2 linked regions of the Sus scrofa genome follow. The protein of the gene in region 1 purifies or fractionates together with the protein of each later gene. This does not show direct contact. Links are inferred from orthologs where the notes say so. Each region holds a gene or a part of one and is shown on either strand. Other genes may lie near its edges. The genes, in order: ACVR2B and INHBA.

What was found.
Region 2: the proteins of ACVR2B (region 1) and INHBA purify together in Homo sapiens (affinity purification with western blotting; 3 studies listed by BioGRID and IntAct, with this or other methods). This does not show direct contact. The link is inferred for Sus scrofa from reciprocal best matches to the Homo sapiens genes ACVR2B and INHBA.

The regions. Positions count from the first base shown.
Region 1 is NC_010455.5:23,252,288-23,264,282, reverse strand, and holds part of ACVR2B (activin receptor type-2B), read right to left. Parts: intron 4,773-11,995; coding exon 4,565-4,772; intron 4,346-4,564; coding exon 4,236-4,345; intron 4,084-4,235; coding exon 3,932-4,083; intron 3,850-3,931; coding exon 3,706-3,849; intron 3,307-3,705; coding exon 3,163-3,306; intron 2,890-3,162; coding exon 2,741-2,889; intron 1,803-2,740; coding exon 1,688-1,802; intron 644-1,687; coding exon 505-643; intron 416-504; coding exon 285-415; intron 1-284. UniProt on the Homo sapiens protein: Transmembrane serine/threonine kinase activin type-2 receptor forming an activin receptor complex with activin type-1 serine/threonine kinase receptors (ACVR1, ACVR1B or ACVR1c).
Region 2 is NC_010460.4:52,884,641-52,896,735, forward strand, and holds the start of INHBA (inhibin beta A chain precursor), read left to right. Parts: upstream 1-5,043; 5' UTR 5,044-5,076; coding exon 5,077-5,464; intron 5,465-12,095. UniProt on the Homo sapiens protein: Inhibins/activins are involved in regulating a number of diverse functions such as hypothalamic and pituitary hormone secretion, gonadal hormone secretion, germ cell development and maturation, erythroid differentiation, insulin secretion, nerve cell survival, embryonic axial development or bone growth, depending on their subunit composition.

The sequences.
Region 1 (11,995 bases):
AGCTGCTGACTGGCAGAGCCAGGATACCTACCCACATGTGTCAGGCCCAGGGCCGGTGGGCTCGCCCCATGCCAGTGATCCTTGGGGGCAACCCAGGCCCTGATGGAGCCCACACTCTCTGGGCCAAACCCAGCTCTGCTGCTCTGAAGGGCACAAGCCTCCCCAAATATTCTCCTGGTGGAAGGAAGGCAGTGCACTAAGTGGCCTCTGACCAGGCTGGGGGGATGACAACTGTCCTGCTGCCTGAGGACCCCCTCTCTGCCCCTGCACCCCAGGGCCCTCACCGGGTGCTTTAACCAGTGATCCTTGATGGCAGGTCGCATCTTCTTGTGCACAACCACCTCCTGTAGCTCCTCCAAGGACGGGTGCTGACCAATCTCCTCCTCAAAAGGCAGCATGTACTCGTCCACAGGTCCTGGGGAAGAGAGTGCCCAGTGGGGTCACCTGAGGGCTCTGCCCCTCCCCACCCCACACCCAGGAAGCTCGGGGCTCCAGCCCGCTCACCGTCGGCAGCCTTGCAGCGGGACACGAGCTCCCACAGCACTAGCCCCATGGCGTACATGTCAATGCGCAGGAAGGCGTCTCTCTGGAAGTTGATGGCTCCCTCGAGCACCTCAGGGGCCATGTACCTCCGCGTGCCCACCTGTGCGAGAACAGGGAGGGTCTGCAGGCACTGACCACACACTAATGCACTTACAGCTGGCCCTGAGAACTACACTCCATATGCACAGCAGGGCCATCGACAATGATGGCTGTTCCTGATTCGCCACATCCACTGGGTGGGAGCACAAGGGTCAGAATGTAAATTACACTTCAGGGATAATTTTCAAGTATCATTAGAGACAATGGTAACCGAATGTGGAACTGCTGCCTCTTTACTCCAGCAAAACCACAAGGGGCTACACAGATGGTGTGTATTTTGCAGAGATTAACATCAAAAAAAAAAGGGGAGAATACTTTAAAATAATAATAGCAATTGTTCTAGGATGATTTAAGCTTAACTTTAGTTAGTTATTGTAGGTTTTTGGTTTTGGATTCTTAGTATATTCTTATCTATAATAATAATACATATTTTTAATGCCACACCCATGGCATATGAAGGCTGCCAGCCTAGAGGTCTGGAGCTGGAGCTGCCAGCCTACACCAGAGCCACAGCAATGCCAGATCTGAGCCGCATCTGCAACCTTCACCACAGCTCACAGCAATGCCGGATCCTTATCCCACTGAGTGAGGCCAGGGATGGAGTCTGCGGCCTCATGGATACCAGTCAGATTTGTTTCTGCTGAGCCACCCTGGGAACTCCATATTTATAATTATTTTTACCTTGTTTAATAATTACAACTGAGAGTTCTCCACTGGCTCGGCAGGTTAAGGATCTGGCGTTATCACGGAAGTGGCTTGGGTCACTACTGTGGCATGGGTTTGCTCCCTGGCTCAAGAACTTCACATGCCACAGGCGCAGGCAAAAAAACAGTTAGAATGGAAAGAGGAAAAAGAATCTGCTTCTCACTGATAGGCCCGGGAAGCCACACTACGCTCTAGGCCTCACTTTCCCCACTGGTGAAATGACAGCATTGCTCTGAGCTCTCAAGGTAACCCCTGCCCCTGCACCCTGCCAGGTGAGCACCAGAAGGGCAGGGTCCAGCCCAGTGCCAGCCCCCATCTTGCACCCCTTGAGGCCCATTACCTGCCCATGAGTGTCCCCCGGAGGTTTCCCTGGCTCAAACCGAACAGCCAGGCCAAAGTCAGCCAGCACAGCTGTAAGGTCACTCTTCAGCAATACATTCTTGCTTTTAAAGTCCCTGTGGAGACAATGGACTGAAGTGGAGCTGACATGTGGTCCAATCGACCTGGTTCCTAGCTTCCCACCCTGACTCCCAGAGACCCCAGCCCAGGCCATTCCACCATATCTGGGGAACAAGGTCCGCCCCAGCTCATTTTTAACACGGGCAGAGGGCATTCCTGGTGGTCTAGTGGTTAGGACTTGGCGCTTTCACCACTGCGGCTCAGGTTTAAGCCCTGGCCTGGGAACTAAGATCCCACACCAAGCCATTGCATGGCGCAGCCAAAAAAATGATGAGGTGAGAAAAACAGTACCTATCTCACAGGGTGGTTATGAGGCTTAAATGACTTGGTGTTTCTAAGTGTTCAGAGCACTGCCTGCCATTTAGTGAGCACTGTGATGAGGAATTAACAAAGTGACTCCTAAAGCATCAGCCAAGGACCCCAGAGAGTCCCTGAGGCATTTCAGGGGATCTGCAAGGTCAACATTCTTTTCATAATAATCTGTTATTTGCCTTCTTAGAAAATCCTTGTTCTCTTAAGAATATAGAATCTTCCAGAGGCTATACACACGTCATCACTCTGACAGTTAATGCAGTATGTGTGCTCCAATACAGCAAATATCAACAAACAAAACCCACAAGAATTAAAGGGACTCTAACCAAAAAGTTTGAGAAGTGGCTAAACCAACCCACCAACCAAAGTAAAAGAGTCAGCACTTCCTCCTGTGGCCACTGGAGGGCACAAGAAAACTGACTTGCAAGGTCAGCCTGCAGGATGCCAGTGAAAGGCAGAGGAAGGGCCAGGAGGGCCCAGAGTTTTGTGTAGTCACCTCTGAAACACCACAGAGCGGCTAAGCCTGTTTATGAAACTGAGACCCCCAGGCCCTGTTCTCACCCTCCAACCCTCTCTGCAACTCCAAGTCAGGCGCAGGGAAGGCAACTGCTAACCCAGGTACCTGTGGGCAATAGATGGCTTGTGGCCCTCGCCACGGCACCAGGGCACGTCCTCGTGTAGGTACGAGAGGCCTCTTGACATTGTCTCTGCCACATGACACAGTTCATTCCACGTGATGATGTTCCCCTTGAGGTAATCTGTGAGGGAGCCCTAGAGGAGACAGCACAGGCTCTGGGCACAGGACAGAACCCAGCCCAGCCCAGCCCAGGAGGGCTGTCTCTGTGGGCTATAGGCTGGAAGCGATGAGGCCACAAGGGGTTGGAAAGGCGCTGTAGGGGGTGGTGATCATGAAGTCATTACTATTCCTAAGAAGTGATCCCAGGGTTAGGGTTTCTGACTGCACACCTTCACATCCACAGCCATGGAAAGCCACAGGAGGGCCTGTTCACCTACGTGGGAGCGGGAGCCACAAGCATGGCTCACCTTGTCGTGGAAGGCCGTGATGAGCCACAGCTCCACCTCCAGGTTGGAGCCTCGCTTCTCAGCGGCAATGAACTGTAGCAGGTTCTCGTGCTTCATGCCGGGCGTGCTGAAGATCTCCCGCTCACTCTGCCACGACTGCTTGTCCTGAGGCGGGGAAGCAGCTGAACTCCACCCTGCAGAAGTGCCCCACCTGCTCCCCCACCCCTGCCCCCACCTCAGCTTCGGTGAAGGAGGCAAAGCAGAGCTGTGCCAGGCCCAGGACCATAAGCCAATAGTGATGTGAGCACTGAGGCCAGCATCTGATTGACAAGGGGCCACTGAGGTCCAGAGACCACCTAATCAATGAGAAGCAGAGCAGGCCTGTCGTCGCTAAGTGTCCCGAGCAACTGCTCAGGGTGGCCTGCTGTCCAGGGCCTCTAAGCAGAACCTGATGTCAGAACAAATTCCTGAAAACCAGAGCAGACTGCGGCTTTGCAAAGCACTACCCTAGCCCCACTCCACCCCCATGGGCCCTGGGATTGCCCTGGAGTGGCAAACACTCACCTGGAGTGGGAAGATCTTGACAGCCACAAAATCATTCATGAGCTGCGCTTTCCAGACACAGCCGAAGCGCCCCCGAGCCTTGATTTCAAGCAGCTGCAGCGGCTTCAGGCCCACCAGAGGGGACGGGGGTGGAGGTCCAGGGTCCTGGAGAGATCAAGGGCTTAATAGGACCTGGCCTGGCCTCCCCACCTCTATCCCGCCTTGCCCCAAGCCAGCCCCGTCTCACCTCATGGATGTCCACGTGGCCATAGGGGGGCTTGCGATGCCGGTACATCCAGAAGGCCAGCAGGACTATGAGGGAGAGGCCCCCGATGGGCAGCAGCGAGTAGGCCAGCACAGTGAGCAAGGTGGGGGCTGTCGGGGGTGGCTCGTACGTGACTGGGGGACACATGGAGCCCGGCGTCACACAGCCCGCCTACCCACACACCTCCAGGGCCAGACCAGAGAGCCCTGCAGCTGCTCCCCACCCAGCAGGAGCTGAGCGCTCCGGGACCTCAGCTGGCCCACGTCTCCTCCCCGGTGGCCCTCACCTTCTGGGCCCCCTGCCTCAGGCAGGTGGGTGAAGCGCTCGTTGCAGAAGTTGCCTTCACAGCAGCAGAAGTACACCTGGGGGTTCTCCTCGGTGGCCACACACTCCTGCCTGGAGGCACAGTTTCCCATCCGCCCCTCAGTTGAGGGGCACAGACTCCCCGGGGCAGCCCAGCCAAACCCCTCCCCAAAGAGAACCCCACGGGGAACCACCGTCCCTAAAGCAGGAAGTCAAGAGGGCTAACCAAGGGTGGACACGCACTCAGAGAGACCCGGTACCACCCCTGCTGGCCCAGGAGAGCCCCTCCTCGGCCCTGGCGGCACCGACTACCTGTCGTAGCAGTTGAAGTCGTCTAGCCAGCAGCCCTTCTTCACAAGCTCAATGGTGCCTGAGCTGTTGCGCCAGGAGGCGTAGCAGTGTAGCCGCTTGTCCTGCTCACCCTCACAGCGCTCCAGGCCACTCTGGTTGGTGCGCTCCAGCTCCCAGTTGGCGTTGTAGTAGATGCACTCCCGTGTCTCGGCCTCCCCACGCCCGGAACCTGCGCCAGGGGGAGGGAGATGCTGAGCCACCCAGGCCATGTCAGGGAGGCTGGCTGGCCAGGGCTGGACTCCCCGGCCAGATGCACAGGGAAGGGTTTTACTGGCTCCTGAGGCCCCTGAGTGGGAGTGGGCCTGCAGCAGTGAATGGAGGGGCCCTCAAACCCCAAAGCATGTCAGAATCACTATTAGGGTGCAGCAGAGAGTGTTGCTAAAAATGCATATTTCTAGGCCCAGCCCAGACCCATTCAACTAGAGTGGGCCTTAATCTACATTTTGAACCACCCCTTCTGTCTCAGAAACTAGGAAGGCACTTCCTGCCGCTGCCTCAGCCTTGTCCCACACTCACCAGAGTCCTCCAGGGAGACAATGCTAGTGTGTGTCATCGTCCCCCGACCCCCACCAAAACACACACCCCTGACCAGACCTGATGGGAAACGAGCACCCTCCAGGGTCCCTTCTGCACCCAGCAAACAGCACCTGCGCCTGGCTGGACTGGAGAAGGTGGTAAAGGATCAGGAAGGTTAAGGCTCCCAGCATCACCATGGGGGAATGTGTGCACCAAGCGGGGCTGGCTGGTGGAGAGCAAGGGTAACAGAGGATCCTCCCAGCTGGGCTTGGTCCTCAAGACCCCTGTAGGTACTTCCTACCCACTCCCGTTCCCCTTCTGCCCTGTGCATGGGCCATCCAGGTCGCTGAACACTTCAGCCCAACTGCCCCTTCAAACACAGCCTCCAACATTTACCAAGTCCATTCCTCTTACCATGCCCTCCCAAAGAGCCCCCAGTCCCGGCCCCCAAATCTGCCCCACTGTCCCCAGGACCCCTACAACCCTGTGGCCTTTTGCATCCTCCATTTACCCAATTTATCTTCCTTGACTAGTTGCTTGTTGTTGTTTAAAGGATTATTTCAGACATTCAAGAAGTCTAAAAATAATATAACTAAAAATAATCCCTAGGAGAAAATAATGTAATGAACACTCACATAAGAAACAAAGCAAATGTGCTTGAGGACTGTCTTTTAAACAGCCTTCCCCTCAGTAAAGTTGATGAAGGCAGAAGCCATGCCTGCCGAGTGCTAGAACTGGTTCTGGACACAGGCGGAATAGATGGATGGATGGAAGGACGGAAGGAAGGATCTATGGTCGGACACAAGGACATAGTTATCTCCTGGCTAGAGCAGGATTTTGAAAGGAGGGGACAATAGGGCAGCCTCAGCCTATAAGCCAAGCCCCCGAGCCTCAGAGGAGCTTCCATCTCCCCTCAGACAACAAGCCCCTGCTCCCACATGTGACGTCAGGAGCCCAAACAAGAGAGGCCACTAGACATCAAGAGTGGTCCAAAGCTGGTCTAGCTCCACTCTGCAAGCTGATGACCAGGCAGGGAACCCTCTGGACACTACTGTGGGCAGGATCTATGTGGACAGGGCTGGGAACCCCAAACCTCAAGGCTCCAGGTAGGACCGAAGGGTCCAGGATGACATTAGACCCCCACCTGACAAGATCCTCCTACAGACTAAGTGAGAAAAAGGTGGCCTTGACTGCATTCAAGTCCTGGTGCTGACACCTCCAGCTACCCTGTGCCTCTGTGTCCCCACTTGTGAAAAAGGGGGTGATAACAGTACTTACTGCCTTGGCTGTTTCAAGAACGAAATGACTTAAAGAGTGGTTGGAACAATGCCTGGCACGGCTGCTGTTCTATCAGAGCCAGACCCCTCCCTGCTACCTATGCCATCTTGTCACAACACAAGCCTCCACCCCATCAAGCTGGCAGTGTGTACACCCACACCTGCAAGAGCTTTGCATTCAGAGCCCCGGGGGGATCAGGGGAGACTGGGAGACACCATGCCTCCCCCCACCTCCAGCTCAGGCTCTGCTGCCAACTGGAGAGGGATCCCCTCCCCATACCTCTTCTGCACACACTCAGCTATTTATAGCCTCTGGCAACACTCCAACCACAAGGCCCTCTGCCTTTTACCAGGCATGGGGCTCCTGCCCACACCCACAGAGCCAGGGCCCCAAGCACAGCAGGCTCCCCCGACCTTAGCCCACTGCCCATTTCTGCAGGAGAGGAAACTGAGCACCCCCCCCCCGCCCAAAGACACTTGGGCAAGGGGCTGGCTCTACCCCCAAGCACCAGCCAACCCAACCTCTGGCCTCCAAAGGAACCAGGTATCCAAGCAGCAGTGTCTCCAATGGGCAGTCCTTAAGTTCCAAGGGGGCTACACCTTGGTGGAAAGAAGTCCCCAGTGTTCCCCAAGCCCTCAGAGCAGAGAAACCCCGCTCCTGGACACACACCACCACCAAAAAAACATATTCAGGTTCCACTCAGAACCCACATTCCAGGAGGTGGATGAAGCTACATGGACCAGCTGTGATACTTGAGGTCTGTTTCCCAGGCCAATCAGCCCTGGATGCACTGGGCTTGTTCCAGTGGTGAGAAAAGAGGGAAATCCACTGGGGAGGGGGAAAGAGAGAAGGAGTCTTGGTGGAGGGTTTGGAGCTAGAGCAGTCACACCTCCCCTGGGGTCCCCGAACTCTGGGATGGAGGTGCACCCAGCCCAGCCAACATCTCCCAGAGGTACTACAAACCCCAGCAGCAAGTGGGTCATTGCACTCTGCCCTTGGCACCTGGAGGCCCCTCAGCAGCCCCTACCTCCCTCTGCAGGCACTGGAGAGTGACAAGACCAGGATGCATCTCAAGGCCCGTGTCCCCCACACTCCCTCAGGCCCCTGGCACCAGTGCACCCTCCCAGGAACCGCCGAGGCTGAGTGAGGCAAGCCCAGCCTTCTCCTCGTGGTCCAGCCTTCAGGTCTGCCAAGAGAGAGGCAGCCACCGCCTGCCCCGCAACAGTGACCACGCTCCCTTCCTGGGAGGCCCTGCTTTAGATGCTAACCAAAAGTTAGCTGAGCACCTGCTGTCCCAGCAGGCTCAACCAGAGGACTCCCTGGAGTCCTGAAGGTGAGGGCTCCCAGCGACAGTATCTGAGCTGTAACTCCATGTGGATGCTGACTCCATGTTCCCCAGTCCACAGAGGAGCATCTTCACTGCCTTTCCCACGACCAGAGGGAGGCTGGCCAGGTGTAGTAGGGGCCACAGACAACCGAAATGGAGGCAAGAGCGTGGGCTAGCACCACACACACACACACACACACAGGTGTGCACATACAGACCATGGAATGGCACATACAGACAAGAGGCAGGAAAAGAATCTAAAAATGTGCCTCTATTTCATCTCTGAATTTCTTTCACACAAGATAGTAACTCTATCCAAGTTATTTACTAAGAGTCAAAACCAGGTTTTGAACACAGGCAGCCTGGCTCTGGAGTACGTGCCTTTCACGTGTTCTGTGATGCCCCTGTCTTTGGTTCTTTTTAGGGCATATGGTGGTTCCCAGGCAAGGGGTCAAATCAGAGCTGCAGCTGCCAGCCTACACCACAGCCACAGCAATGCGGATCTAAGACGTGTCTGCGACCCTACACCACAGCCCGTGGAAATGCTGGATCCTTAACCTGCTGAGTGAGGGGATCAAACCTGTATCCTCATGGATCCTAGTGAGGTTCATTTCTGCTGAGCCACAATGGGAACTCCTGCTCGGTAATGCCTTTATTCTCAATGTTATATGACACTTCTTGTAATTAGTATTTTCCCAATTTATCTTCTTCCAACTTTTATTTTAAATCTTCCTGTATCTTTTCCCCTCAAATCAACCTAACACTGTCTTTGATCTAGAATTAAGTCCCATTATATTTATAATTAACACTATGGTTAAATTTGCTTTTTCTCTACTACTGCCACCCTTAGGTTATCCCTGGCATGCAGGAGTTCCCAGACCAGACTGAACCCATGCTACAGCAGTGACAACATCCAATACTTAATCCACTGTACCAGGATTATCTTTTTTAATTCCACATTTCAGCCACTTCTGGTCTGGAAATAATGAACCCTATTTCTATTCTATTCTAGTCTAACCTTTAAATCCTAATATGTATACTTATGCTAACAGCCTAAAAATAATCACCATCTCTCACATTCCTCATAGGAACTTAATGGTTCTAATCTCCAATTACCTCCTTCCAACTTACATTTAATTAATTTAATATAACGTGTGTGTTCAGTATTTAATTGGCTGTTGTTCTTCTTACCTGCCTCCCAGAGCAGATATCTGATACAATCAGCATTTTCTTGTCTGTCCATACATTCACCAACCTATCTGCTCACCATCCGTTCTGCATCTCTGCTCTTTCTCTAGGACCACTGTTCTTCCCAAAGAACACCTTCCTTCAGTAAAGATCTTTCGGTAGAGTTGCCTTTGTTAGCCTTTCTGAAAATGTTATTTTGTTCTTTTTCGTAACTTGACAGTTTAGAACATAAACTTTTAGGCTGAGTTATTTTCTTTCAGCGAAAATATTATCTGGCTTCCATCATTAGTGCTGAAACATCTATTAGTTTAAATTTGTAGATACTCTGTCTTTTCCCTCTGGCTGATTTCTCACATCTATTTCTTTTCCTTTTCTTTTTTCTTTTTTTTTTTTTTTTTTTTTTTTGTCTTTTTGCCATTTCTTGGGCCACTTCCTCAGCATATGGAGGTTCCCAGGCTAGGGGTCGAATCGGAGCAGTAGCCACCGGCCTATGCCAGAGCCACAGCAACGCGGGATCCGAGCCGCATCTGCGACCTACACCACAGCTCACGGCAATGCTGGATCCTTAACCCACTGAGCAAGGCCAGGGATCGAACCCGCAACCTCATGGTTCTCAGTCGGATTCATTAACCACTGAGCCATGACAGGAACTCCTCACATCTACTTCTTAAAGTGTCACTGATGGGCTTTGTGTCTACGGTGAAATTTATTTACACTGCTTAGAAGAGTATGCTTTAAATCTGATGATTCATGTCTTTCATCAATTCTGAAAAATTTGTGGCTTTTATCAACCGGAATATTGCATCTCTCCTGTTCTTTAATTCTAAAATTCCTCTTACAAATATCAGGCCATCCCCAATCTCAACTCTGCTTTCATATTTTTCAATTCTGTGTCTAAGCAGCATTACAGATAATTCCATAGGTTTAACTTCAACTCATTAATTCTCTTTTTAGCTCGGTCTAATTTGCAGTTTAGTTCTACTTAATTTATAAATGCAATTACTCTACTTCTTCATTTCTAGAAATTCTATTAAAGAAAAAATCTTCTTGGTCAATTTTGATAACTTTGATCTTTGTCATACTTTTAAATCCTTATCTAGTAATTCCATAATTTAACTTCTTGAATATTTATTTCTGCCACTTGTTACTTCTGATGATTTTTCACTCGTGGTCTCTTGTTTCCCTGTGTGTTTTGGAATTTTGGATTCTGTTTTTGGATTCAGAGCTTATGTTCAGTGGGGGCCTTTTCTGTGGGAATAAAAAGTGAGGCCAAGATTTTGAGGGGCAAGCTTCCAGAGATAATTTATATTTTTGCTTCTGCCAAATCTTCTAGGACATTACCAATCTGGAGTCATTTTAATTTCTCAACTTCCAGTTTCCCAGGAAACACAGATGGTACCAACCTCAACTCCAAGCTCATGGAAGCACATATCTATAGCTACAAATGCTCAAGAGAAACTACCCACCCTCCATCAACACAGGCAAAAAAAAAAAAAAAAAAATTCATTATCTATCCCCTTATCAGCAAAAGGTTTCCTCTAGTCCATACTTTCAATGAATGTACAACCCTGTGCAGGTCTTATCATGTGAGCCTCAGTCTCAATTCCACATCTTATCTCCTATGCCTCACACACTGCTACTAAACCCACATCTCTAAATTATGGAGAGGCAAAGTCCCCTGGGAATAAGCAGCTTTAGCCAGTGAAGGGGTAGAGCTCTAGATTCCAGCCCAAGCTTGCTTCTCCCTTACTTTTTTACACATGCAATTATGCATATGCATTTTAAAAGGATATCTGTTATACTTTATCCAACATTTCCATTATCTTGTATAAGGAGGTTTTTCAGCTATTTTGATGACTATTACTGCCAGAAATGGGAGTTCAGGAGCAATTTCCAAGGGTGACAAGAGGAACTCTATCTGCCTCCAGAAGTTGGGCCTAGGAACAAAGAATCAAGCTAGGTCACCTCAAGTCACTTCCAACCTCAACTCTATAAACAAGTCCCTGGCACCATTCTCCCATAGAACAAGGTATGCGTCCAAGGCCACTCACTGAAACACTTGCCTTTCTCCAGGGCCCATTTTTCCTGAAGAACACTGATGAGAGAGCTTCCGTAAAGGTCAAGGAGAGACAGATATTACTTTTGCCCCCTTCTGTAATTCCACTAAAACCACAGCAAAGAAGATTTTTAAGGCATAAACCCATAGGACAAAAAGAACAGGAAAAGGAGTTTTTGCTGTGGCACAACAGGATCAGCAGCATCTAGGGAGCCCTGGGGTGCAGGTTCAATCCCCATTCTGGCACAGTGGGTTAAGGAACTGGCACTGCCACAGCTGCAGCTTAAGTCACAACTGCAGCTTGGATCTGAACCCTGGCCAGAGAATTCCATATGCCTTGAAGCAGCCAAAAGGAAAAAAAAAAAAAAAGGAAGAAGAACAGAACAGGAAAGAACCACAGAGGAATTCCTATGTGGCTCAGCAGGTTAAATACCCACTGTCACAGCACTGGCTCAGGTTATTGCTGTGGCTCAGGTTCGATCCCTGGCCTGGGAACTTCTGCATGCCATGAGTGTGGCCAGAAATTTTAAATTTTTAAAACTTAAAAAATAACTTTTAAAAAAAATTAGAAATAAAAGAACCACAGAAATGAAGTTCTAAAGTTGGAAAGCAAATACACAAGTAGTCAATGACTACAGACTCCTAAATTGTGGAGAAAGCTGAGAAGCAACATGATTTCTACCACAGAACCTTCCCAAACTCGGGAATTTGTGGCACCAGATGTATCTGGAAATGGGGCAGAGATAAGTCCAAAGATAGATGGGTTGGTTGGTAAGGGACAGTCAGAACCTCAGATCTCACTATCACTTCCCATGGCTGGGGGCTGCCCATCCCTAGCCCTGCAGACAGCTGGGGTTTTTTGCTTTTCAGAGCTGCACCCATGGCAAATGGAAGTTCCCAGGCTAGGGGTCGAATCAAAGCTACGGCAGCTAGCCTACCCTACAGCCACAGCAACACTAGATCTGAGCTATGTCTTCGACCTACACCACAGCTCACAGCAACGCCAGATCCTTAACCCACTGAGCAA
Region 2 (12,095 bases), on another chromosome or scaffold:
CTTCTCTGAATTCTCTAGCTGCCAAAAGGGGGGAAAAATCAAGAGCTGCTCTTAAAAGAAGTTGCCCTTGCGGGTGCTCGGGGTAAAAATAGAGGCGGCCGCTCCGCCCGGCTTGGCCGTGACTCCAGCCCCGCGAGCCGGGCTCGAGCAGCGGCCGCGATCCGGCGTGATCCCCGGGAGCTGCCAGCAGGTGTTGCTCAAGGTACAGTAGCAGGCCGAGCAGCGGGCCCGCAGGCCGGGGAGGGGGGAGCTGCGGGGGGAGGGGCAGGAAGTGAAAGAGAAACCGACCCGAGCAAGGAACAGGAGATGCTGGTCGGGAGCCGGGCTGCCCAGCTCAGCCCTGGGCCCCGGAGTCCGGCAGGGAAAAAATCACCCCCGGTCCCGAAAGAGTGGAGCGAAGTTATTTGAACCTGCCTGCTTCCTCCCCCACCCCCTCCCACCCCCTCCCACCCCCCACCTTCGTCTTCCTCTGAGCGAGGAGGCATCTCCCGCGGGGCTGAGCCCGGAGGTTGGGGATTCAGGTAGAGAATGACGTCACAGCTGGTGGGCTGACCCAGGCAGGTGGGCACTTCGATGGCATCCGTGGCCAACGCGATCTGAGTCACAGAGATTGGGTGGCTCCTCTGGGGTGCTGCAGATTTCCTGTGACACAGATGTTCAGAGAGAGGCGCCCACTGGGCATCTCGGAAATCATATCGCCTCCTGTTTTTCGGAGCACGTGCTTTTGACCCCGCAGGGGAGTTATTGTGGAGCCCACTTTAGAGACACTGAGGTTATCTGGTAGTAAGTAGCAGCATCCGGGGTCTCCTCCGGGTGGGTTTGTGCCCCCAGACTCATAAACCCGGTGGCGTTTCCAGAACGCCACCCGGGGTTGGGGGGGGGGGCAGGGGGGAGTTTAGATGCCCCTCAGACCGCTGCTCTCCCGGAGAGCTCATTTAAAAAGGGTAAGGGAGCTCCTTTCTTGCAGAGAGCTTGGGTCCTTCCAGTTCCAGACTGAGGGGCAGGGTAGGAGTTTAACCAGCACTGATCCTGTTTCTGTCTTTCCTTCTCAGATTCCCTCTGTTCCTCTACAACCTAATGATTTTTATTTTTGACTTCATTTCTGCATATGCAATTCTTAGAATACTCCCTGCCCCAACCCCCATTTATGGCTCTGACCTCACACTTTCTCTGTGTTTAGCCAAGGCAGGCCCGCTTCTGCAGACTTCTGGTGGCCCAAAGAAAGGGGCCTAAACTACCCATCAGGAGGCCAGAGCCTCTATATTTTGCTTGTGGGCACAGTGAAAAGTTTATTTTATGCATGTTAAATCCTGCATCCACAATAACGTATCTTGTCATATGGCTTTCATTAGCTCCCAATTTTGCACATTTTATTCAACTTGTCATGAGTACCCGGCTTGTGCTTCAGCTAGACTCCTTCAAACAAGCCTTCCATTTTTATGTCTGAGGCATCTTTCCTCCTGTTTTTTTTTTTTTCCCCTGACTTGCTAACACTCCCCCCTCCGTCCCCAAAACATCGTGACCAACTTAACTCCTCTTTCAGGAAATGTTCACTTCTTTCCATTAATCTCATGTTCTCTTTGTAACAATTTAGAAATCATAGGACTTGAAGTTCTGATAAAGAAGAATGATGTATGAGTTTTTTGGTTTTTTTTTTTTTTTGTATTTTTGTTTGTTGTTTGTTTTTTTTTTTACTAGTTAGTTTGGGATTCTAAAGACTTGGGAAAGACACTTAGAAGGTTCACCAGCAGAGAATGACTGTTTCCAAAGTTCTTAGTGATAAATGATTTATGAAGCCGGCATTCAGTTTCAAGATGTAAAGTAATAGTGCAAGTGGGCTGGGGGCGGAGATCATCCCTCAGAGATATACATCGTTTCCTATTTTTTCCTCCACGAAATAGCTTATTTCAAAAAGGAAAATCAGAACCTGTAGGGAGAGCCCTGCGAATTTTTTTCCCCTGTCAGCAACAATAAAATACTTTGTCAATAGAGGCAACTTCATGGAGAAGTTTTATGGGAAGACACAGAACTGAGCCTGACAAGAGGGAGAAACTGACGTGCTTGATGTGCGAGTGGTCAAAGTTGAAAGCTGGTCCCTCAGTGAGCGCTCGCTGTTGGGTTGCAGGATTTTTCTAAAGGGTCGTCTAGTCAGTCAGAGGTTTCCCTGGCTCCGTGATCACCCAGGAGTGTCACAGCAGCCGAGAAAGGCTTTCCATTAGATAATGAGTTATGAAATATGTCTCACACTGGAAAAACCAGTCATCTGCTGATGTCATTCTGCTTCCAACCAATCCCAAACAAAGCCCCAGCCCTCCCTGCTTGACTGGTACCAATGTGTGACTGTACAAATAAGTAGTACAGTATAAAAATTCTCAGTGCCAATGCCATGAAGAGGAACTCCGAAGGCACTTGCCACATGATACAAGAGTCTGCTGGTGAAAGAGAGAGGACCGGAAAGGTAATGCTTTTTAATGCTTACTGCTGTGCTCTTTACACGTGCCTAGCCAGAAGGGTGAGCAGGAATTTTTACAACTTATTGGCATTTCCATGCATATTTGATGATCTGTGCCTTTGTAGGTCTTCCAGCGAGTTAAAACAGCTTTTAATAGCAGAGCATGCAAAGCGAGTATGTGTTTCTCCAACCCAGTCAGCACCTCCTTGCGAGTACCTGTGCCAGGAGAAGGCTCATTTTTAAGTTACCTTCACAAACAGAAGATTCGGGGAACGCACACAAACTCAAATACAGGGAGAATCTAAATAGTGATCAGTTGCACTTAGCTCGGTGAAGCTGGATGAGGGCTCTCAACTTGTTTGGAGCCATTCAACTTTTAGTTCTATTTCAGAGTCTCTTGTAAAACTTAATTGGACTACAAAAGCTTTGGGCACTGTCTGTGTGACGCCAAATAGGTAGATTATGTTAAGTAATCTATTTCAAAGATGTTTTATTAAGCAATTATTGACACAGATGCCCCCCCCCTTCCCCATTCTCTTTCGCCATCCCCCACTAAGAAACTAAATTAGACTCTTTAGGGAATGTTGACAAAGTCTTCACAATAATAGCAGAGGAATTGACGTTTCTGGAGGTAAAATCCCAAAGGTGGCTGGTAACAGAGGGATTGCTGCAGTCAGTTGCTTTAGAAAAGGGGGACAGGGTATCCAATTAAGAGAAGCATCCTTACCTGTGCGAGCTGTAATTTTAACTCAGCATCACACTTGTCTCACCCGCATCCCCTTGCCTTCAGAGGGGATGCTTGTAAATAAGGGTATTTATTAACTTTTCCCACCCAAAATGCATTGCTTAACTGTAATGCTCTGAACACACTAGGTGTCAGATATAAGCCGACTGTATCTACAGAAACTGAGAGGGCTTATGTGTGGGAAAGAAACCGAGAGGGAGGGAAAGCTTTAACAGATGGACCTCTTAAAGATACTTCTGCAAGATAAAAGCAATAAGACAGAAAATGAAAAAAAAGGGGGGGAGAGAATTAAAAAAAACTCAGAGAGGCATTGTTTAAACATTCACATTTTTCTTTTTGCTGTGAACACTGAAATCCGTGATGATTTCATCTTGTGCTGTTCCTTGGAGAGAAAAAGAAGCCGTCAGGGGGCCAGTCCATGAGCAGACTGGTCTGGAATGGGGATGGGGGTAGGGGCCAGGCTGAACAAACTACCACATGACAGAGAAAGTCATTTGCCCATATATTTTAGCGATTCTTTCCCCCTAGGACCAGTTATTCAAGTCACGGGAGCGCACTCTTTATATAAAATAATGTGGGAAAGGCCAACTGACTTGTGCGTTTTATCTGTGCAGTCAGTCAGGGCCAGCGGTGGTAAGCTGTCATCTGTGCGTGTGTGTGCAGGGCAGAAGGGGCACGGCTAAGAGAGGGTGCAGAGCTGCACATGACAGGAGCGTGGACCACGCTGCCTGCCAGCCCGCCTGCCTGTGGATCTTCCAATGCCCGGCTGCATTTTTGCATTTGGGGAAAAGTAGAGTCTGTGACATGACCCCAAACAAAAGTTCTCTGATCTCTGATCGCCCGCCAGCGTGGACGGCCCTGAACACTGAACTATGAATGAAGGGCGGGGGAGGGGGGCGGGGGGGGGCGCTCTGCAGGATTCCCTCAGCCCAGGAGGATGGGCTGGCCCCTCTTCCCAAGCCCTCCATCACCTGTCCGCCCCCTCCGGGGACCCTGAACCCCACCTTCCCGCCGGGGGTGTCCGAACCCCTGAGTCGGTGGCTCGGCAGGTGGAGGGGCGCTGGGCCAGGCTGGTTCCGGCGGGTCCTCTCGGTGGATTGATTGAGATAGGGCGTCTGTGTCTGGGCTTTGCTTCCCCCCCCCCCCGCCAAAAAAAAAAAAAAAAAAAAGAGGAAGAAGGTGAAGCAAGGGGACTGGGCAGAGAAAGCAAGGGAGGGAAAGGAGAAGTGGCCCAAAATCAGGAGCGTTTCCTCGCGGAGGGGAAGCAGACCTCGGGCGGCGGGTGGTGTGTGCAGAGAGGTGTGTGCGAGGGAGCCGCGAGCAGCAGGCGAGCAGCCCGTCAGAGCGGGCGGTCCCTCCCCTTCCTAATCTCAGCCTTTACTCGCAGCGCGGCTCCCTCCCTCTCCCATTCACTCACTCACTCGGGGCCAATCGCTCCCTCTCTCCCCCTCTCCCCCCCCCTCCCTCCCCGTCTCTCTTCCCTCCCATCCTCTCTCTGTCTCTGTCTCCCCCCCCCCGTCTCTCCCCCCTCCCTCCCTCCCTCCCTCCCTCTCTCTTACTCTCCTCCCTGACAGCCACAAACCTACAGCCCCGACTGCATCCAGAGAGGGAACCTGCAAACAAACTTCACAGCAAACTTTTTGTTCTTGTTCCAGAGAATTGACTGAAGAGGAGACAGGAAACAAACAAACAAAAACAAACAAACAAACCAACCAAAACACACACACACACACCAAAACCCCAAAAAGGAAAGAGAGAGAGAAAAAAAAAAAAGCAAAAAAAAAAAAAAAAAAAAAAAAAAAAAAAAAAAACCCGTGCGTGAGGGGGAGGAAGAGCGGAGCCTTTTAAAAGGGCCGTCACCACAACTTTGGCTGCCAGGATGCCCTTGCTTTGGCTGAGAGGATTTTTGTTGGCGAGTTGCTGGATTATAGTGAGGAGTTCCCCCACCCCAGGATCCGGGGGGCACAGCGCAGCCCCGGACTGCCCGTCCTGTGCGCTGGCCACCCTCCCAAAGGATGTACCCAACTCTCAGCCGGAGATGGTGGAAGCCGTCAAGAAGCACATTTTAAACATGCTGCACTTGAAGAAGAGACCCGATGTCACCCAGCCGGTACCCAAGGCGGCGCTTCTGAACGCGATCAGAAAGCTTCATGTGGGCAAAGTGGGGGAGAACGGGTACGTGGAGCTGGAGGACGACATCGGGAGGAGGGCGGAAATGAATGAACTCATGGAGCAGACCTCGGAGATCATCACCTTCGCGGAAGCAGGTGGGTGCTGGCCTGGGGGGCGGGGTGGGGGGCACGGGTCTCCGACCGCGCGGGGGGAACCTGCCGCCCTCCAGCTGCACCCGCCCGGGAAGGTCGTGCGTTCGCCGGGCGCGGGAGCGGGCCGGCCGGGGGGCGACCAGGGGCGGACCGGGAGGGAACCTCCCGGAGCCGGGAGCCCAGGCAGAGCCCCGGCCGGCGGCGGCAGGGAGGGGGTCGGCGTACACTTGCTCCGCTCGGCCGGTCGCGCCGAGGAAGCGCTCGGCCGATCCCGGAGCAGGAAGCCGGCGGGAGAGAGGCTCCCTTGCCCTGCCCGGGAGAGCAGAGCAGGGCGGCGAGAGGAAAGCCGGGCAGTTTCGGGGGGCTGGGGGGGGCGGGAGGCTTCCGGACCCCATCCGAAGTTTCTACCCGGGGGCGGGGGAGGGGGCGGCGAGCGCGGGATTGGGGTGGAAGGGCACGGAGGAAGTCCTTGTCGCCCAAGCAGCCCTTTTTCTTTAAAAGTCCAATCAGGGGCCACCTTCCAGAAGCGGGGCATCTGCATTAGTGACAGTCGTGTTTACCTTTGGCAACTCGGCTTCGAAGGAGCACAGGCATCACGTTTTAGGCAGGGACGAGCGAGAGCGACGTGGGGGTGGGGGTGGGGGTGGGGGTGGGGGCACATGACATTGAACCGGCAGGCAGTTGCTTTTTGGAACACTGACTTTTGCTCTCGGAACCAAAAAAAAAAAAAAAAAAAAAAAGGAAAAGAAAGAGTTTTGTTCTCTGTAAAGTTACTAAGAGCTCTCTGCCAAGGAATGCAACCTTGACAAAGTGCTCCAGATACTACACGGAGCTCTCACTCAATCCTTAAGAGGAAGAACTTTAATAAATAGATTCTAATCGTTGGCTCAGGACCACACGAACCTGTTGCTGAAGAAAAAAATACCTGTCAAGCGGGAGGGCTGGAGACCCGGGGCCAGGTCATTTTTACAGTTATGTGACCCGGATCCTTTTGCCTGCCTACAAGCTGGGCAAGTCCAGGCACACAGATGTGTTAATTCCATGTTACTTTCATGGTAATGCCAGGCTACAGAATGGTATCCCTTGCCAAATCCATTTGAAAGGAATGCCATTGTTTTGTTTGGTAGAGCATATGGCCAGTAAAGTGTGTGCCGGGACTCCCAGCATTGCTGTTTAAAAGTTTGCCGCAGCAGTATAAACAATTAAGGCAACACTCAGAATTTCCAATCCTGAAAACCTGTTGACTCAGATGTTATGTGCTCAAGAAAACCGTGCGAGACCTGGGCATCCTCTTGAAGGGAGCAGATAGCCTGCTGGCTTGCTGGCTTCTCCTCCTCGGCAAAGCCCTGATGTCCTAAGGGCGGTTCTAGCTGTCTCACCAGAAGCTTCTTTCCTTTCGAGAAAGGTCTGACTACTTTCTTCCTCTAAACCTTTTTTTTTTTTTTTTTTTTAATGAAGCCCCAAAGGCCCTGATACTTTTGACTTTATCTTTTGAAGCGTATGGAGGGGAAAGGCAGGGTGGAGCTTTCGAGTGGCTACCCAGATTTGCTCAGTCTTTGCCGGGGTCCTGAGCAGCAAGTGGATTCCAGTGGTTGGGGGGCTGTTCCCACTCTTGCCACAAAGGGACCCTGTACAGGTTTTTATACACCAGTTGCCACACAGCACGGCCTTAATTGCAGCTCTTCCTCAACTGGCTTTACCCACATCATATGACTAAGTAGACTTATGCCCCTGGCCCCTTTGAATTCTATCCCTGATACCAGCACTGGGCCCCCGGATCTGACTTTGACTCGGATAGCGAATCACTCGCTCCCTTGGCATTGAGAATTTTGCCATGGAAGAATCTGACCTTTCCCATTCTTTCTCACGTATGGCCTCGTCTCATGCCAGTCTTTCCCTCAGTCTTGTCCTTTTTTTTTTAAACTCCTCTGGTAGGTGTTTGGTTGGAAAGAAATTGAGCTGCTTTTTGAAAAGGTGGATTCATTTGATTCGCACATTGACTAAAGTTGAGGGTCTGTAATGGAAACTCCTCCCGTTTGCGTTTTACACCCAGACTCGGGCTGAGCTGCTGGATCCTCAGCAAAGATTTGATTCTCCTTGCTCAGTTTGCTCATTGCAGAGGTTTTGCCTCGGGCCGATTTAGTACGAGTTCCCCAGAGTGACTGCCCTACGGACGGTCTCCTCTCCCGGAAGAGAGTAGTACCGTGTCTGTGGGCGCTTCTATGCTAAACCAAGAAAGAGATTTAACATCGGGGTGACGGTAGTGAAAATACAAACATGTCTCATTGCTCTACTGCTATGACTAAGTCAACCTGAGCAACACTCGGCCAAAGTCAGAAGTCAAGATTTTTGAGAGCAGCAGAGAGCACTCACTGTCCTTTTCTTCAGAAGCGATTCTGTACCGCGTAGGATGCAGTCAGTAAGTGTGGCCTGCGTGAGGGTCACACGCCTACAGAGGCCCCCCTCGGTCTCAGGTTTCCTCAGCTGGGGATTCGCGTTCAGTTGTTGCCTCCACGCTCCACGACCAAACAGGCCGAGACAGGGCCACCTGGCAGTTGAAAGATGACAGCACCTCACGTGCCCAGAGGTCTTTGAACTGAGTCAGTCTCACTGTGCTCAGGTGCCCAAGGCCTCGTCCTGGTAAAGCTGAGAGGTTATGGAGTAAGAGGCAAGGAGTGGCCCTCGGGCTCTCTGGAACATATTCCCACAAACAAAAATGCTTTTTCTCATCATATCTGTCACCCAGCATTGCTCACTGAGGTCACTGCACTCTTGGCAAGGCTGGCAGCAGAATCGTCTACTGTGTTCTTGAAAATCTCAAAAGAAAGGAGGAAGGGATGGGCAGAGCTAAGGCAACTGTCCCCGTCATTGTCACGAAAGCTAAAGTCAGTGGTTTTCGCGACCACTGTATCCTGTTTTATCTCCTTTGCATTAGTGACAACAGCCGGCAAAGTACAATAACATGTATCCTTGACTCTCTGTGATGCCAAGTTTATACACCGATTCTGGTCGTTAAGTTAGCAGTGACAGCACTTGCTGAAGAAAGGCTAGGAAAGGAAGGCAAATCAAACACCGAGAAACAGAAAACACTGACATAGCCCAAGGGTGGTTGAAAGCAGCGTGTACACCGCCTCCCCTGGAAGATCCTAGTTACAGAAGATTTGCATTAGAAATGGTCACAAATGTTCCCGAACAGGGGCTGGAAGCAGCTGGCTGGGATGAGTTTTCCTCCACCCCAAGAAGGCCAGCTCAAAGAGGAATGGACTCCCGTCACCCCCTGGCAGTCTCCTGAACTTGCCTGGGAATTCACCCTCCCTGGAAGGTGTCTTTAGGGGTTACACACTTTCTCCTCTGAATAGTGGGGCGTGATTGGCCACAAGAGGGCGCCTTCCAAAGACTTTTGCTCCTTATCTGTTAATCTTCTAGGGAAACACAATTTCACCTACTGGAAGCCCCAGGCTGTAGCGCCCTAATCTCAGGGATTATCAGTTCCCCGGCTCCTTCCTCTCATCCTCTGGGAAAAGTTAGGCTTGTTATGGGATGGGAAGGACGTGACTTACCTGTAACACGTGAAATGAGACCGAAGGAGGGGAAATGGGAATTCTAGTTATTGATACATGTGAACATTCTGGAGCTCTCTGGAATGATACATTTCAGAAGCAAACAAAGCAGAGCGGGAGAAATGTGGCCCTGAGTCATCAGCAATACTGAGCTGCTCACACATCTCTCCCGAATACGGCCGCCTGGGCTTTTACCAAAAACCCCATCTTCTGTCTCCCCTGATTGGGTTGCCTAGGTCAGTCAGTCTTATCAACAGGTTTTTCAACCAGTGACACATGACAAGTGACTTCAGACTGGGAGGAGAAAGTCTGTGGATTTAAGGCAGCAGAGTGTAGGGCTTGGGAAGATGTGTTCGTTTCTGAGCGGAGGGCGTGGAGAGCAGTGGTGGAGAAAAGCTGAGAGAGATGGATTCGATTCGTGGTTTGGGCCTGTGAGGGAGGAGTGCGGGAGTGGGAGTGCGGGGAGGGTCGGGGGAGAGCTTGTGTTGTCTGAAGACAGGCTGAAAGCATCCCTGCCCAAGCTCTTTTCGTGAAAGCCCCGTCTTTGTCTTGGCCTCTCTTCTGCTAAAAATATACTCCAGCAAGATCTCTCAGCTAGTCTTCCTGTGGTTCGGAACGCTATCCCCCCGCCCCCCCCGAGTCCCAGATCCAAAATCCAAAGTGTAAAAGTTCTCAGGAACTTTGGAAGAAGGCTCTGAAAGTCTGTGGGTTGCACCTCAGAATTTTCTCTGCGTCTTTCAGGAACCCAAGATGCCTTTCTCTTGAAAATATTTCACCTTTTTTCATCACCCTTTAAATGAAAGGCACAGGACTGTGGCCGATCCTTTACAATTCAGTAAATGTCAGGAAAGATATTAAGGCTGAAAAAAAAATCAATCCAGATCATTTCTAACCCAACTTGCAGCTCTGCCCTGGGGGGCAAGACCGACCTCTGGATGGAGGCTAAAGGAGGCAGAATCTTTAAGGCCTCACTGGCTGCTTTTTGCGGAACCCCTGGTTAACAGTCCAAATGCGAAATCCGTGCTCAGGGAACACACATGCTGTCAAAAGTGGCTCTATATTCCCCCACCAGGGACCCTTCCACAGCGAGGCACAGGGCAACCTCGGTGAAGAATAGAAGATTAAAGTCATAGGTGAGATTTACAGGGAGGCTCCCCTCCTCCCCCATGTGAGTTTAACTCTTTCTGAACAGCGCGGTTCTCCCAGAGACCCACCTCAGGGATGTAATAATTACCCACAGGGGAGGACTGCGTACTTTAAAGCAGGACCACGGTGAGGAAACAGAACAAAACAAAACCGAAACCCTGCCTGTTAGTATTGCTTATTTCCTCTGACTTGTTCAGGTGCCCAGGAAACTGAGATGCGGGGGGGGGGGGGGGGGGGAGCGTGGGGAGGGGGATGAGGAGCAGCATTTTGTATCCTGGTGTGGGGGAGGAGAACAACCAGGGACTTGGCTGCTTAACCCTTGGCATGCCTGCCTCCAGGAGTTACGACACAGCTGAAAAATCCTGAAAGCAGGAAGGCGAAGAACAACCGGGCTCTCAAGGTGGTTTTACTTCCAGGTTCACAGAGTCTGGTCCCGTTCAGTGCCTCCCGCCCAGCAACCTTTCTGCAGTGCTCCCTAAGCGGTGCAGGGACACATCCCTCCTCCCCATTTTTATGCACTTTTTTTTGCCTCTCCCTTTGATATGTGTCCACCGAGCTCAAGAGAGGTTTAAGTGATGAAATATTATCACCCACATGGGTTTGCGTGGGACTTTCTTAGTGAATTACTCAGGCAGAGCAGGCTGTGATACAAGCCTTGCTCACGAGCCTCCGGAGGGAAAAAATAGCACAGAGGATGAAAAGAATATTATCAGAGAGTAGGGAATGAAAGGTTAGCAAAGCCCCCGGCTAGATCTAGTTAGGTAAGTCACCGTGTAGGAAGGCAGGGCACACCTGTATAAGCTGATGCTATACCTGCTCACAAAAGCATTGTGGGAAGGCTTCCATTCCAGGATTTTACAGCAGAGGATCATTAAGTCAGACCTGGAACTGACGAGAAATTGATCCTGAACACCTCAGCCCTAGGCAGCCTCCTTCCATTTTTCCAGTTGCTGTCATCCATGGTGATTCGGGTTCGGGAGTATCCTGAAAGCAACCCTGCGTTATAGCTGGGGTCTCAGGTGGAATGCAGACGAAGCGAATAGAATCAAGGGACTCCTTATATTTTCATGCCTAGGAAATTTGAAGGCTGTCATAGCTTTCTGAAACCGACAGCCCTGGTAAATATGAATTCCATCTCAGCATCTAGCTGTCTCATTCTCCCCACCCCCTTCTGCCATGAAAGCTAGATGGAAGAGAAAAAAAAAATGCACTGCTTAATAAGTCAGAAGACAATAGAACTTTGAAAATGTACCTGCATATAAGGTAGACATTAGGAAGCCTTGACTCTCTCTCTTCCCCCCGTTCTCCTGAGCATTATGGCAAAGGCATTTTCATGAAATTGGAGCTCAGTTTTATTTTTTTTCCCTGATAAAATATCATGCAATATACAAATAGCAGTTCCAGAAATGGACACCAGGAGAAGGAGGCGGCAGGCATGTCAATTAGTCGGGGGAAAATCCAAATGTCAAAAATCTGGGGGAGAGATCCAGCGCGCAGGCAGTGGATGCGTATACGGGGGACTGCGTCTTTCTGCTCAGATCATTAAGCCGATGCATGTATCAGCACTGTGCCTCTCCCCAGTAGGCAGGCGAAGCCAGGCAGTTAATTATCAGCCAGGGCCAGGATGAAAGTCATCTTATGATGACTCTCTGATCCTCATATAACAGCACCTGACAGGCTGAGCCCCCTCTAATCAGTACTCTCTTTGTACAATCCTCAGGAACACTAAATCATTTGCTTCCAAGTACAGCTGCCTGTGAAGAAGGGGTGGGGCTATATCAGGCATCAGAAACCAGCTCTTGTGAAATGAGGGCTGCCCTGTAGGCTGCTGGTAGAAGCAAGGGGCCTGGCCCTCGGTGACCCTCCCGAGGCAGTGTGCACGGGCTGTCCCTTGTACTGATGCGCCAATTAGCCCCTCCCCACCCCCT